3 linked regions of the Rattus norvegicus genome follow. The protein of the gene in region 2 purifies or fractionates together with the protein of the main gene of each other region. This does not show direct contact. Links are inferred from orthologs where the notes say so. Each region holds a gene or a part of one and is shown on either strand. Other genes may lie near its edges.

Region 1 (4,065 bases), on a different chromosome or scaffold from region 2:
TTAGACACACAAGGAAATGGAACTGTTTGATCTGTTTTTATTAACAGAGAGAGACAGGAAGACAGAGAATGCAACAGAAATGTCTGGAGACCGACAAGGTGTGCACACATACACTAAAGGCTTCTTTTGGAATGGGGTGGCTTCTCGGAGCCAGGCTCACTTCCCCAGGTCCTCTCTTTGGGAACTGGCCCCAGGCATCAGCCAGCTTTCCCATTGTAACCCTGAGGGTCTCCATGGTGGAGAACCTCCCTTCCCTTCAGCTTCCTCTACATTCCTCTGCTTTCCCAGCTGGTCGCTGGGGGCATGGAGGACAAGCCACAGGGACACTTGCATAGCAGGGGACTGGAATGGAGATAAGGCATATGGTGAGGAAAGGGATGGAGGGAAGGGCATCACAGCTGCAGGCGAACGGGACCTCCGAAGGGCAGCTCCTCTTTTCCTTCACCAGAGATCACTACTGGAATGCGGCATCAGAGCGAGGCAGACTGTGTCATCTACCCCAATCCTCTATCTCAGAGCCCCGAATGCCAGCAGGAGGCTCTGGAAAAGCCTGAGTCAGGTGAGTCAAGCTCGTGGTATGTGTTCAAACATGACTGGGCGCCCCCCTGGAGTATACGTCGGGGACCCTCTCTGGATGGAGGTGAGTGCATGATCTTACAGTACATACAAGTCTTAGCATCTCTGCGTCTCATTGCTCCCCAAGAGCTGTGTCTGGATGTATGTGTATGTATGTCCTTCCTCACACAGCAGGAACTTAATTATCTGCATGGTATATGCTGCTGTCAGTGAACATGAGTCCCAGCGAGTAGAGAAATGGATGTGGTCCTGCCCGCTCCTGTCCACTCGCAGGTCTTCCTTCAGCCTGTCTGGTCAGGGGTCTTGGCCAAAGAGGTAGGTGGTGAGCTCAAGCCGGAGGCCCCGGGCATAGGCGCGAAGGGTATAGAAGAGGGTGAGGAAGTCCTGGGTGCTGAAAATAGTGTCACTAAGTGCAAATGCCAGGGTAGACGGAATAACACCCCGGCCATACTCCACCATCCACGTGTTTGGTCCCCACTCCACAGCTGTTGCCTCTCCAGGTCCATGGACAACCGTCTCTCCTGGGGGGACAGACAGGGTAAGAAGGATCAGGAGGAGCCCAGCTCTGCCCTGGCCTTCCATAGTGCCTTTGCCTAGCCTATGGGCTATCTAGGTAGAGGTGGGGAATGAGAAGACAGTTTCAAGAACAGAAAAGCTCTACCCCACTAACCTAGTTGTTTGATCAAAGGGGAAAGAAAGACCAAATGCCTAAATATTTTATGGCATTACCTGGCCCATGAAAGGCTACCCAATCCAGCTACAGGCTAATGTATAGAATTCATGGCATCTGCATTTCCAAGCCTCAAGTGGAAATTTGATGTGGTTACAAGGCTTCCTAGGCTTTTTGAGAAACACGCCTGTTAAATCACAAAACTTGATGCTTAATCTTACACCAGCAAGTCCAAACTGTTTTTCTTTTAGATGGATCCAGAGGTCCATTAAAAACAACATCAGGAGCTTGCTAGCTAGATGGCTCAGTTCTTAAGAGCCCTGTCTCCTACTCCAGAGGACCTAGGTTCATTTCCCAGCACCCACATGATGGTTCCCAACAGTCTTAGGTATCAGATGCCTCCTTCTGACCTTTAAGGCACCAGGCACCGAAGTGGTGGGCGTGTGTAAGTGTGTAGGCAAAACACCCAGACGAATAAAAAACAAATAAAAAACCGGAAACGACAACAAAAATACAAAACCCCTCACTAGTTTAAAACACGATGGTAAACAAATGTCTATCTTAACTTTTGGATATGACGGTCTCCCAAACAATTGCTGGAATAATGGCTGGGTTAAACAGGCTGATAGAAAGCAGCTCTCTATGACCGGAAAATGCCCTGTTCCGTTTCCCTAACGAAACAACCTGTGGCTTACCAGGGAGAGAAGGAAGGAAATCACTGGTAGGCCTTCTAAACATGCCATAGCCAGGTCTTATGTCCTTCTCTAGCTAGAGGGCGCCCCCTTGGACAGAACTTCCACACTCACCTGGGTAATAGACCTCACTTTTTGTGGTGCCCTCTCTCCACTGGTGGAAAGTGCCAGAGATGATGGTATCTGAAATCTCAGCCCAGTATCGTCCTGATTGACAGGAAAATAGACACGGACCATCAGGGAATCCTTGTCATCACACGGCCCAGCCAAACCTCGGAATGGAGGGCACCAGCCCTCGAACAGTCCCAGCCTCCCAATCCGGCCCACCGCCAACACTGACCCGAATGGCCATGGGAGCCCAGGGCGGTGCCGAAGAGCAGCACGTACTCAGACAGCGAGGCGTGCAAAAGACACATGGCGCCCATCCAGCCGCCCGCGTTCACAAACACCCACTGCAGCTCCTCATCCGGCAGCACGTGGCCTGGGTGCAGCCTCCGCAGCTCCACGATCAGCCGAGAGAAGGCCAGCTCATGGTCCAGCCCTGATGCAAAAAGGAGAGGCGTAGGTAAGACCAGCCCGCTGTCCGAGTCTGGCAAGGAAGGCGCCCTCAGAAAGCGCAGCTCCGCTCGGTTCTACTCGGTGTCGGCCCACTCCGCTCCCCGCCCTCACCGGCTCACCTGCGTACTGTCGAGCAAGCTGAGCTATCTCTTCTCTCTGGAAGACGAAGCTCTGAGTACCCAGCCACAGCCAGACCGCCTGGATCAGCACCGCCACAATAGTCAGAAACAGGGTGATCCATGCCCACCGCCGGCCCACAGCCCACGGCATCCCAGCGGGCAGCCTGGTACCACCAACGTAAGACCGAACTAGGGCCACAGGCTGTGGATTCACAGCCGCTGCCTATGGTCGCCCCCCGTCACCGTGGTACGGCTCGCCCGGGCCAATCGGAACGTCTGGGTCACCTAGCACCGCCCTCTGGATTGAACCATTTTTCTAGAGGGGCGGGCATAAGGTTTGGTGGCGCGGTCCATAGGAGGGGGTGAGAGGCGGGGCTTCGCCTCTTGGCAGCCACCCTGAAGTGTTCAGTCCTGATGTCCTTAAGTAGGGAGACTCAATGGCCTGGCCCACCCGGGCTGGCGAGCCCGGAAGTAGAGCTTTCTAGGTCTCGTGATTGCTAGCACAGAAGCGCGTTGAAGATAGTGCCACTGGGAACCTTAGGGAAGGCCTTTCAGAAGCGGTGATATCTGAAGTGTCCATGAGAGAGGAGAGCAGATGGGAACCATTCCGAGATTCACAGAGCAGAGGCGGGAGAGATAGCATACATGCATGCATACATACATACATACATGCATACATGCATACATACACATGTATATATATGTGTGTGTACATATATATATACACACACATATATATAATATTTTAGATGTCTCACTATGTAGCTGACCTATAGACTAGGATGGCCATAAATTCACTGAGATACTTCTGCTTCTCCAATACTGGGATCAAAGGCATGGACCACCATGCTTGCTTAACATAGTGCTTTCTCTGATCCTACGGTTCATTCTATATTCTGAAACACAAAAATGAAAGACTTTGAAAATCAATAGATTTATCCACTGGGGAGCTATGGGATTAGATTTTGCCCCAGAATGGCTCTTGGCTACATAGAGGAGGGGAGTAAAATTGGACTAAGATTTAAGGAAGAGAGCCCATATGTGTCAGCATGTAAGAGTATGTATGGATAGCTTTATCTGTAACATAGAATAAAATTTTAAAAAGTATCTGCTTTATAGTCCATACCATAGTCCATATAGCTCACTATGATTAACATAAAATGAATTAGGATTTTAAAGTAAGTAGTGCCTGGCACATGGTCAGGATTCTGTATGTTAGTTAGGAAAAGACAACGTAAGACTGAGTGGTGGTACATGCGTGTAACTCTCGACGGTGGAAGTGAAGGCACAAGGATCGGTAGTAGTTCAAGGTCACCTTAGCTGCAGTCAGCATGGGTCACTGGAGACCATGTTTAAAGCAACGACAAGAAAAGCAGCCAAACCCATAAAGGAACTAGGAAAAAACTAGCCTTGAGCCCAGAAATGATGGAACAAAAGACCAATACAGTCA
Region 2 (5,219 bases):
CCTGGGCTGAGGTCAGGCAGGATGGCCTCTGTGTTCTAAGTGTTGAGACGCTCCTCTAGCCTGTTGTTTTTAATTAAAATATGCAAATTTGCCTACTCTTTATAGATTTATTAACTTTGTGAAGAACTACAAGAATCCAAATCTGACCATTTCTTTCACTGCTGAGCGAAGCATTGAAGATGAACTCAATCGGGAAAGCAACAGTGACGTATTCACCGTCCTCATCAGCTATGCCGTGATGTTTCTGTACATTTCCCTCGCCCTGGGGCACATCCAGAGCTGGAACAGGGTCCTGGTGAGTGTGAGGTGCACATGGGGGGTGTTAGACATGACAGTACAAGCTGTGACATGTTATCTCCTCTCCTTGGTCAGACGTTCCTCAGCAAGTTACCTCACATGTGCTCTTTCCATGAACATCAGGCTAACTATCCATAACTTCTGTTTCTGTGTCTACTTTCTTCACTCCTAAGGCTTACTTCACATAAGTCACATATGTTTTGTCCATAGCCTTACCTGCAAGTGCATGAACTTTGTTCCTAGGGAGAAACCTGCACGTTTTTTCTGTGTTCTTTCACACCGTGAGTTGTAACAGGGAGGACAGAAAGCTCTCTGATGACCTGTGCTTTCGTCCAACATCAGGTGGATTCTAAAATCTCGCTGGGCATTGCGGGGATCCTGATAGTGCTGAGCTCGGTGACCTGCTCCCTGGGCATCTTCAGCTACATCGGAATGCCACTGACCCTCATCGTCATTGAGGTCATCCCGTTCCTGGTGCTGGCTGTTGGGGTGGACAACATCTTCATTCTAGTGCAGACCTACCAGGTAACTCTCCCTCTTCTCGGAGCTCAGTATCTGCCTAAGCACTCAGGCTTGTAAGTGGCTGCTCACACAGATAGCTCCACAGCCTTCTCTCCCACGGCTCTGTGGTCTCTTTGATTTGTTCTGCACACTTGGAACCAAGAATCTCAGCCCTCTCTTACTTGGTGAAGTGGATACAGAAGTGAGAAGTTGGTATTAGAAACCATTGTCACATATGTGCAGTAGGAACTTAACACGCTTAGGGGAATTATTTCAGGTATTAATGCTACTAAAATGGCTTCTAGCGCACAGCAGACACATAACAGATTTGTCATGCTCTGAGACACTGCTCAAGGCACAGTCTACCATTGTAGGATTTGGTCTCAGTTGCCTGAAGTCCTTGTCTGAGTGGAGACTCAGTGACATACAAGTGTCCTGTATTGGTCCGTCTTCCTGAAACCCGTGTATACCAGGCAGTTGTCTGATAACATGACTCCATTTTGCTGAGCTTCTCATCTGGTGCCCATCAGTGATCCAGCTCAACTAGCAGGATTAACTGCTGCTGCAGCTAACGAAGACCGGAACCAGACGGCTCTGTTACTGAGAAATTTCAATAGTGCATTTTTTTTTCTTTAAGAGAGATGAGCGTCTTCAGGAGGAGACGTTGGATCAGCAGCTGGGCAGGATCCTGGGGGAAGTGGCCCCAACCATGTTCCTTTCGTCCTTCTCTGAGACCTCGGCATTTTTCTTTGGTAAATTTACTATAGATTGTACCAGGCCTGTGGTGTATGACTGTGCTGTGTGGGATATGATATGCTGGGTATATTATTATGCCCCATGTCTCTCCCTTTTGAGGGCTTGCTTCACACTTGGAGTGTTGCTTGTCTTGGCTAACTGGCTGTGTCTCTGGAGTCAGCTTTGGAGTCCTCTTTGTCCCAACACAGTACTCATGCTGGGATAGAGGACAACAGAGACTCAGGCTTCTCTGCCATCTCCCCTTCTTGTGCCTATTGTAAGTGTTGATAAATGGCGCCCCTGCATGGCCACAGAATCCTTGGCTCTCCCCTCGGCAGTGTGGCAGGTTGACTTACTTACAGGATGCCCTGCCTTTGTTTTCACACAGGCTTCCTTCTCTGAGCACACACCCCCAGGGGAAACAGGTTCATTAGTGATTGTCTTGTAGTGCTTCAGTACAAGGAGCCTTAATGAGCAAGAACAAAAGCCTCGGGATTCTTTTGTGCAGAGCCATCACTGAATCTTGGCGTTGGCTGCCCAGTCTATCTCCAAAGTGCAGAAAGAGAAAAGTGGCTTGATCCTTGTAGAGACTGAACAAGGCCAGACATCTGTGCGGAGAAGATAGTCTCCATTGTCTGAGGTCACAGCTGCAGTGCCCATGTGACTGCCGGTTCTTCCCTGGGCCGTGTGGGCTGGGTTTAGGTGGCGAGCTTCAGTGGAGGCCTCCTGGCCCCGTATCACTTCCTGTCCTGTAGTGCTGTCATGGAACCTGTGGTCTTTATTGTGCCTGAGACAGTCACAGGTGCAGGGGAGATGATACCCTTTTACTCTTCTAAGAAAACCAGCACAAGTGTGCAGTGTGCCAGGGTCAGGGCGACTCTACCAGACTGCAGTTGCATCGAAAGAGGCAGATGTCCTGGTTTGTTTCTGGATCATGTGGCTGGCCCAACATCAAAAAGGTTTTCCTCCAAAATAATATGGTGAATCTGGATTTCTGTTTAAATACTTATTAAGAATATTTTTGATCCTAAAATGGATTGGTATAATGTGGGTCAAGAGGAAATGGCATATGTGCATGGGAACATACCTGACACCTCAGGGTAGCGTGACACCTCAGGGTGGCATGACAGTGTTTTCCTCTCCCTGTAGGGGCGCTGTCCTCGATGCCAGCTGTCCACACCTTCTCTCTGTTTGCGGGGATGGCCGTCCTCATTGACTTCCTCCTTCAGATTACCTGCTTTGTGAGCTTCTTGGGGTTAGATATTAAGAGACAAGAGGTAAGGACAAGGGTCTGTTTGAATCTGGAGTCTGGGCGAAGCTGGAGAGTTTTCCATGCTTCTCTCTATCTCTGTGCTCTCAGAAAAACCGTCTGGACATCCTGTGCTGTGTCAGAGGCCCTGACGACGGACAAGAATCCCAAGCCTCCGAAAGCTACCTGTTCCGCTTCTTCAAAAACGCCTTTGCCCCATTTCTGCTGACGGACTGGCTGCGGCCAGTTGTGGTACGGACTCTTCTGAGGTTTCTGTCTTCCCTCTCTCTACATAGATGTGTCACATGCCTTCTGAGAGGCCTGGGAGGGCAATCCCAGCCACTGTTAATATAGTACAGAAAACACAGGCAAATGTATACAATAGCAGGGTCCTTTGCTTGTGCAGTTTTTAAAACACTTTTTTAGTTTTATTTACTTTTATGTGCACTGGTGTTTTGCCTACACGAATGTGTGCAGTCAGTCCTCTCAGCTGCTCAGCCATCTCTCCTGCACCTCTAGTGCATTAATCAGTCACCATTGTCAAGAATTTTGGTAACATTGGGTTGGGGTTTTTTGTGTTGTTTTTGTGCCCAAACCCTAAGTTTTTGTTTTGAAAGAGTTGTAGTTTTACAGAATGTTGCAAAGAAATTGGAACCTTGTTTCTCTCGCCTGTTATCTTCTAGTGTATGTTGTCTCACATACCCAGTTGTAATATATACGCAGAATTATAGTGCAGTATTAGAGTCAGGCTTGTGTGCATGTGTTTGGACTGGGGATGTAGTTCAGTGGTAGAGTCTTTGCCTAGCCTTACGCAAGGCATGGGGTTCACTCTCCAATACCACCCCAAAATAAATCAATAGTCGTGTCTTTGGTGTGCAGGATCTTATTTCTTCTTCAGCTTATGATTACATCAGCAGTCGTCTCTCGGTTTGCTTTTTTTCCAGATGGCCGTGTTTGTGGGCATTCTGTCATTCAGTATTGCAGTAGTGAACAAAGTAGAAATCGGATTGGATCAGTCTCTCTCGATGCCAAATGTAAGCCACTTTCTTTTAACTTCTTTAGCCGCTATTGAGTACAGTTTTCAGAGCATGTGTTATAGGTGTTAATGCTTGCTTCTGAATGCAAATCATGCAAGGGGCAACAGTGATCTGCTGCAGGGCTCTGCTGGAGCAGGCTGCTGGCCTATGAGCTCGTAACTTTTCCTGACATAGCCTTAGAGGTGGAGCAGCCAGTCTCCTGAGATCACTGAGATCCCTTCTGTCTGCAGCTTAACAACAGACGCACTCTGGGACCCAGAGGAAGAGAACCATGCGTCGTCCTGCTTGGCGACACAGGCTCTATTCCCAGCAGTCTCCCATGGAGCTGTATTCTCTCTTTGGTCTTCCTTTCAGGATTCGTATGTGATTGACTATTTCAAGTCACTCGGTCAGTACCTGCACTCGGGCCCACCCGTGTACTTCGTCCTGGAAGAGGGCTACAACTACAGTTCCCGCAGAGGGCAGAACATGGTGTGCGGTGGCATGGGCTGTGACAATGACTCCCTGGTGCAGCAGATATTTAACGCAGCAGAGCTGGACACCTAGTCAGTGTCGGGAACGTCTGGTCCTTTGTACTTCTCTGTCTCTTGAGTTAATGTTTAGTCTGAGAGATGCTCTCCCGTATGGTCTCCAAGTTGGCCCTGTCCCAGCCTCCCAAGCGTTAGGGTTCCAGCTATCACCTGCCTGGGTTTGGTCCTTTTCAGTCTTGAACAGAAGGAGGCAGAAGGAAGAACTCGTGGGCAGGGTCAACTCAGGCCTGAAATTTCTCTGCAAAAGCAGCTTTTGGGAAGGTTTTTTTGTTGTCATTTCAAAAAATCTGTTAGAGCAAGTTTCGTGTGAGCAAAGTAGGCTCATTGGCCATCAGAGTGGGCTCATGGGCCATTGATTATCTTGAAGGGTTGGTCAGTCACGTGGCAATGTCAAATGGGGGGAAGGAGCTGGAGTTCGCAGGAGTCCCGACTGGCCCATCACTGTCTCTCCTTTCTCCAGCACCCGCGTAGGCTTCGCTCCCTCATCCTGGATTGATGATTACTTTGACTGGGTCTCACCGCAATCCTCCTGCTGTAGACTCTACAATGTCACTCACCAGTTCTGCAATGCTTCTGGTACTTTCATCTCCTTTTCTAGACTTTTTTTTTTTTTTAATTTTGGAAAAATGGTAGCATCGCTTAGCCATTTCACTTTCCCTTCATTTGTGTGTTTGTCAGTGTTGGGGCTGTCTCCTTCCCTCTGTCCCTGTCCTGTGCTCAGTCACACAGGTGACTCAGAGCTGCATCAAGGACACATGAGACTTCTCATGTGTGCAGAGCACACCGACTGCTCTCTCAGGCGTGCCAGCTAGTGTGTTCAAAGGCTGCCTCCTGCTGCTCTGTAGGTGCTGAGAACGTCCGTGAACACAC
Region 3 (4,036 bases), on a different chromosome or scaffold from region 2:
GCTTGAACACAGGCCCCCACACACTCTGGCACTGTACCACTGAGTCACACACCCTGTTCAGAAAGAGATCCTTTACTTTCTGTGGGTGTAAAACACTATGATGTTATGAAACGGGCATGGAGATGCCTTAAAACTTGTTAAAGTATAAGTATTGTATATGACCAGCAATCCCAGGACTGGTTATGCATCCAAAGGGAGAGAAGTCGGTGTTGAAGAGACACTTGCATCCTGGTAGTTTCCAAATGGGAACTGCCTAATCACCCTCCCATCAACAGAGAAATGGAAAAGAACAACATGGTGGACTTATACAGTGGATACAGTGAGAGAAAACGATTGTAGAGGCATGGTGTTGCATGTATGTAATGTTAGTACTCGGGAGACTGAGACAAGATTTGCATGACACTGATGCCAGCCTGGGCTACACAAAGAGAGACCCTGTCTTAAAGAGCCAGGAAGGAAAGAATGAGGAAGGGAGGGAGGAAGGGAGGGAGGGAGGGAAGGAGGCAAGGGAAGGAAGAAAAGGAAGGAAGCAAGAAAGAGAAAATGGGAAAATTCACCGATATGTGTGAAAACTACTAGTAGAAGTTGAAAATTACTAAGAGTGGTCACCCAAGGATTACTCTGAGCCAGTCAGTGGTGGCAGTGAGACTGGCCAAAGGGCACAACGCTACGATTAGAAGACAGGCAGTGCAGTGACTGTAGCTAATAGTAGTGTGTGCTTCAAACTAGGAAGAAAGTTTTTTAATATTCTCATCTTGAAAGAAAAGCAAGCATTTACGGTGACTGTTGTACCTATCACCATAGATCTCATAATACATAAACATTAACATCACAGTCCATAAGTGTGTATGTTTATTGTATATCGACTAAAAGCAAAACATGACCCAAACCCATCCAAATGCATCCCAGTGCATGGGTATTCTACAGGAGCAGAAGCATTTACTAAGAGTGGTTACCCAAGGATTAGCCTGAGCCACACTGCCAGTCCCTACCATACGCATAAACATTCCTCCTAGTTCCGGGGTTCCCATCCCATCCAGTTCTCACATGGCCTTACCCCCAAATGAGGCTGCAGCTATGGGACAGACGGTGGACTCACCTTGCCAGCTGGGCTCTCTCACTTTGGCTCTGTCTCTCATTCTTGGGGATGCAGTCTGGGACTCCTTTATCATTCCCAACCTGCTTTTGCCCATGTCTAGTCCACTAGCTCTCAATGCTTACAACACATACTGTACACGAGGATTACCAAGACAAGGGGTGCAAGGGGTGTGCTTCCTGTTTTGGTTTTGTAGTGTGGGGCTGAGGCTGGTGTCCCTAGTTTCATGCATGCTGGGCAAGTGCTGTATCCCTGAGCTACATGCTACACCTGCACATCATTAGCAAAGATCTAGATGTGAAAAGAAGGAAGGAAAGAAGGAAGGAGGGAGGGAGGAAAAGAAAGAAAGAAAGAAAGAAAGAAAGAAAGAAAGAAAGAAAGAAAGAAAGAAAACCCCGTGTGCCATGATGGTGTGTGTCTGTAATAGCAGGAGTCGGGAGACCAAGGATCCTGAGTTTCGAGAGCAGACTAAGCTTCAAAACGGAGAGGGCACAAAATGAGATTTCAACTCAAAACCAAGAATTAATTTAAAATTTAGAGAAGCACCCAAAACCCAAGGCCTAGGTCGCACCAGGAGCAACTGAATTAGAATGTTTCACATGGTGCCCCTGGGACACCAGGACTCCAAGAGATCCTATTATCCAGCCTACGATGCTCCGCCCTTCAGGCTTGTTTGTACAATGCAAGACTCAGGTCAGCTTGCTGCTAAACGACCAATGAGTACTAACGCTTCCCTTTTGCCTATCAGAGAGAGGCGCAACTTTGCAGTGCTAAGTACACCCTTCAGACTTACCCGCCTTTCTCATCTGTTGCCTTCCAGAACACCTTCAGAGGACCTGTCTTTTCTCCTTAACCCTATAAGGAGTTTCATTTTCCTGTCTTCGATAGCTAGTTTCAATATTTCTCTCCTTTCCCATATCAGAAAAGACTCTATTTAGGGTTTCCAGTTCTCCACAGGAGCCTGGGGCTGAGGTGTACCTACTGCCTAGTAGGCACTCAACTGTTCTAGAAATCTTTTGCAAGAAGCTTATAAAGTTTGAAATGGTAACTTGAAAACATGATGTCGACCCGGAAGGAACAACTGCTTGCTCTACTCCTGGAGCTCTGGTCAATAAATAAGGAAATGATGTAAGAACAGTAGCTGTCTCTGTCAAGTGTCTTTGATCTCCAGCGCCAAGACTGAAACCCTGAAGTTTCCCCAACTATTATGCTGGAGAGGGATGGATTCCAGTTGCACAGAACAGCACCAGTGACCTGAAATAAAACTGTGCAATTAGAGCGTCCACGCATGAGTAATGGTTTTGTTTTCAAATTAAAGCACTGAGTTTTGCCCCCTGAGAAATTTGCAAACCTCACTTGTCAGCCTAGGCAGAGGAACCTCGCTACCAGCAAAGGCTAGGAAACTTTTCACAAAGTATCTAGGTCTTGGTGGAAGTGGACTGGGCCAGTTAAACGGGTAGCGATCCCAAGTACTTCCCTCCATCTCGTTCCCCAAACTAAATGAGCTCTGTCTCCAGTGCCCAACACAAGCAGCTCGGCCGTAGGGACCTGCGACCCGGGACCCTCGGCAGAACCTACCTGAGCGCCAAGAACCGCTCGCCCAGAAGCGCCAGCCCGATGCCTAGCAAACTCAGAGCCACCAGCCGGCCCATGGCGCGGGACCGGCCCGCCGTCTGGTTTGGGCCTGACCGGGCTGCACCGGACGCTGGGCCAGCTCCCCGCCCCGAGCGCGGAACCGCGCCTGATCCCCGCCCCGAGCGCCGGCTCTGCAGCCCAGGCTCCGCCCGGCGCCGCGGCCTCAGAGCACATCCGCACATGCCCGCGTGGGAACCCAACTGAACTTGACTCCTTTCACAAACACTCGGCCAACCCTCCAAAGCCCGCGCAGCTGCACCTGCTCTGCTCCCTGAAAACTTTAGGGTGGCCTCTGCGGAGCTCTCTTGATTTAGTTAAGTTTGGGGTTGCTTTTTTGTTGTTTTGGTCTGGAGTTTGAGGATGTTTTCCCCCTTTGTTGTGTTTATTTTTGATTTTTGAGAAGCTAGGAAACAAACCCAGGACTTTGTTCATATTACGCAAATAACGAGCCACATCTACACAGAACAGTTTCGTTGTTGAACATACTTGTGTGTGTGTGTAATATGTCTATGTTTAAATGTAAAATATATTTAAATATTAATTATTAAACATAGGAATGTATACTAAATATATGAAATCTATTAAAATAGTACTTTTAAATTTTCTTATTGGTCCAGGATGGTAGTGAACATCTGATCTGTCTAATTCATATGCCAAGTTCTTGGGCAACTCAGGGCCCTGCCTAGAGTAATGTGTTTTGGTTTAGTTCTTTATTTCATATGCATGGATGTTTTGCTTGCATGCATGTGTATGCACACATCCATGTCTGGTATCCACAGAGGTCAGAAAAGGGTGCGCACTACCCCAGTAAGTACAGCCAGTGTTCTTGGTGCTAAGCCATCTCTCTAATTTTAAATATTCACTTCCTTTTTTCTTCTTTTAGTTAGGAAAAAATGGCTCTGGACAGGCCTTATGTAAAAAGTTAGAATTGGAGTTACATCCTTTTATTTTAAGATTTATATTAGACTAGACCGCCACAAACTCAGAATTTATTGGAGTACTAATAAATTTTCTCTCCTTTCTCCCTTTTCATTTTAACACTTATTTATATACACTTATAAAAATATAAAGAGCGAGGTCGCTCATTGAGATTGTGACAGCTACTGAGTATAACTTGGAATCATTTCCTAATTGTTCCCAGCACAATTCCTACCTGCAATGTGTTTGCAGAAGTTAAGCAGTCAGTTCTTAAGGAACATCATTCTTTGACAGTGTTTTGTTATTGCAGCCGGAGATGACCTTGGATTTGAGGCTTTCTTGACTTCCCCTCCTGAGGATTACCAGCATATGTTGACACATCAGGCC

The links.
Region 1: the proteins of Npc1 (region 2) and Sigmar1 purify together in Homo sapiens (affinity purification with mass spectrometry; 3 studies listed by BioGRID and IntAct, with this or other methods). This does not show direct contact. The link is inferred for Rattus norvegicus from reciprocal best matches to the Homo sapiens genes NPC1 and SIGMAR1.
Region 3: the proteins of Npc1 (region 2) and Pon2 purify together in Homo sapiens (affinity purification with mass spectrometry; 3 studies listed by BioGRID and IntAct, with this or other methods). This does not show direct contact. The link is inferred for Rattus norvegicus from reciprocal best matches to the Homo sapiens genes NPC1 and PON2.

Annotation. Positions count from the first base shown.
Region 1 is NC_086023.1:61,700,000-61,704,064, forward strand, and holds Sigmar1 (sigma non-opioid intracellular receptor 1), read right to left. Parts: upstream 2,801-4,065; 5' UTR 2,767-2,800; coding exon 2,616-2,766; intron 2,480-2,615; coding exon 2,279-2,479; intron 2,146-2,278; coding exon 2,053-2,145; intron 1,098-2,052; coding exon 871-1,097; 3' UTR 22-870; downstream 1-21. UniProt on the Homo sapiens protein: Functions in lipid transport from the endoplasmic reticulum and is involved in a wide array of cellular functions probably through regulation of the biogenesis of lipid microdomains at the plasma membrane.
Region 2 is NC_086036.1:3,661,077-3,666,295, reverse strand, and holds part of Npc1 (NPC intracellular cholesterol transporter 1 precursor), read left to right. Parts: intron 1-105; coding exon 106-295; intron 296-639; coding exon 640-822; intron 823-1,435; coding exon 1,436-1,550; intron 1,551-2,682; coding exon 2,683-2,810; intron 2,811-2,893; coding exon 2,894-3,034; intron 3,035-3,726; coding exon 3,727-3,816; intron 3,817-4,173; coding exon 4,174-4,364; intron 4,365-4,809; coding exon 4,810-4,925; intron 4,926-5,219. UniProt on the Homo sapiens protein: Intracellular cholesterol transporter which acts in concert with NPC2 and plays an important role in the egress of cholesterol from the endosomal/lysosomal compartment.
Region 3 is NC_086022.1:34,388,885-34,392,920, forward strand, and holds the start of Pon2 (serum paraoxonase/arylesterase 2), read right to left. Parts: upstream 2,801-4,036; 5' UTR 2,749-2,800; coding exon 2,675-2,748; intron 1-2,674. UniProt on the Homo sapiens protein: Capable of hydrolyzing lactones and a number of aromatic carboxylic acid esters. Has antioxidant activity. Is not associated with high density lipoprotein.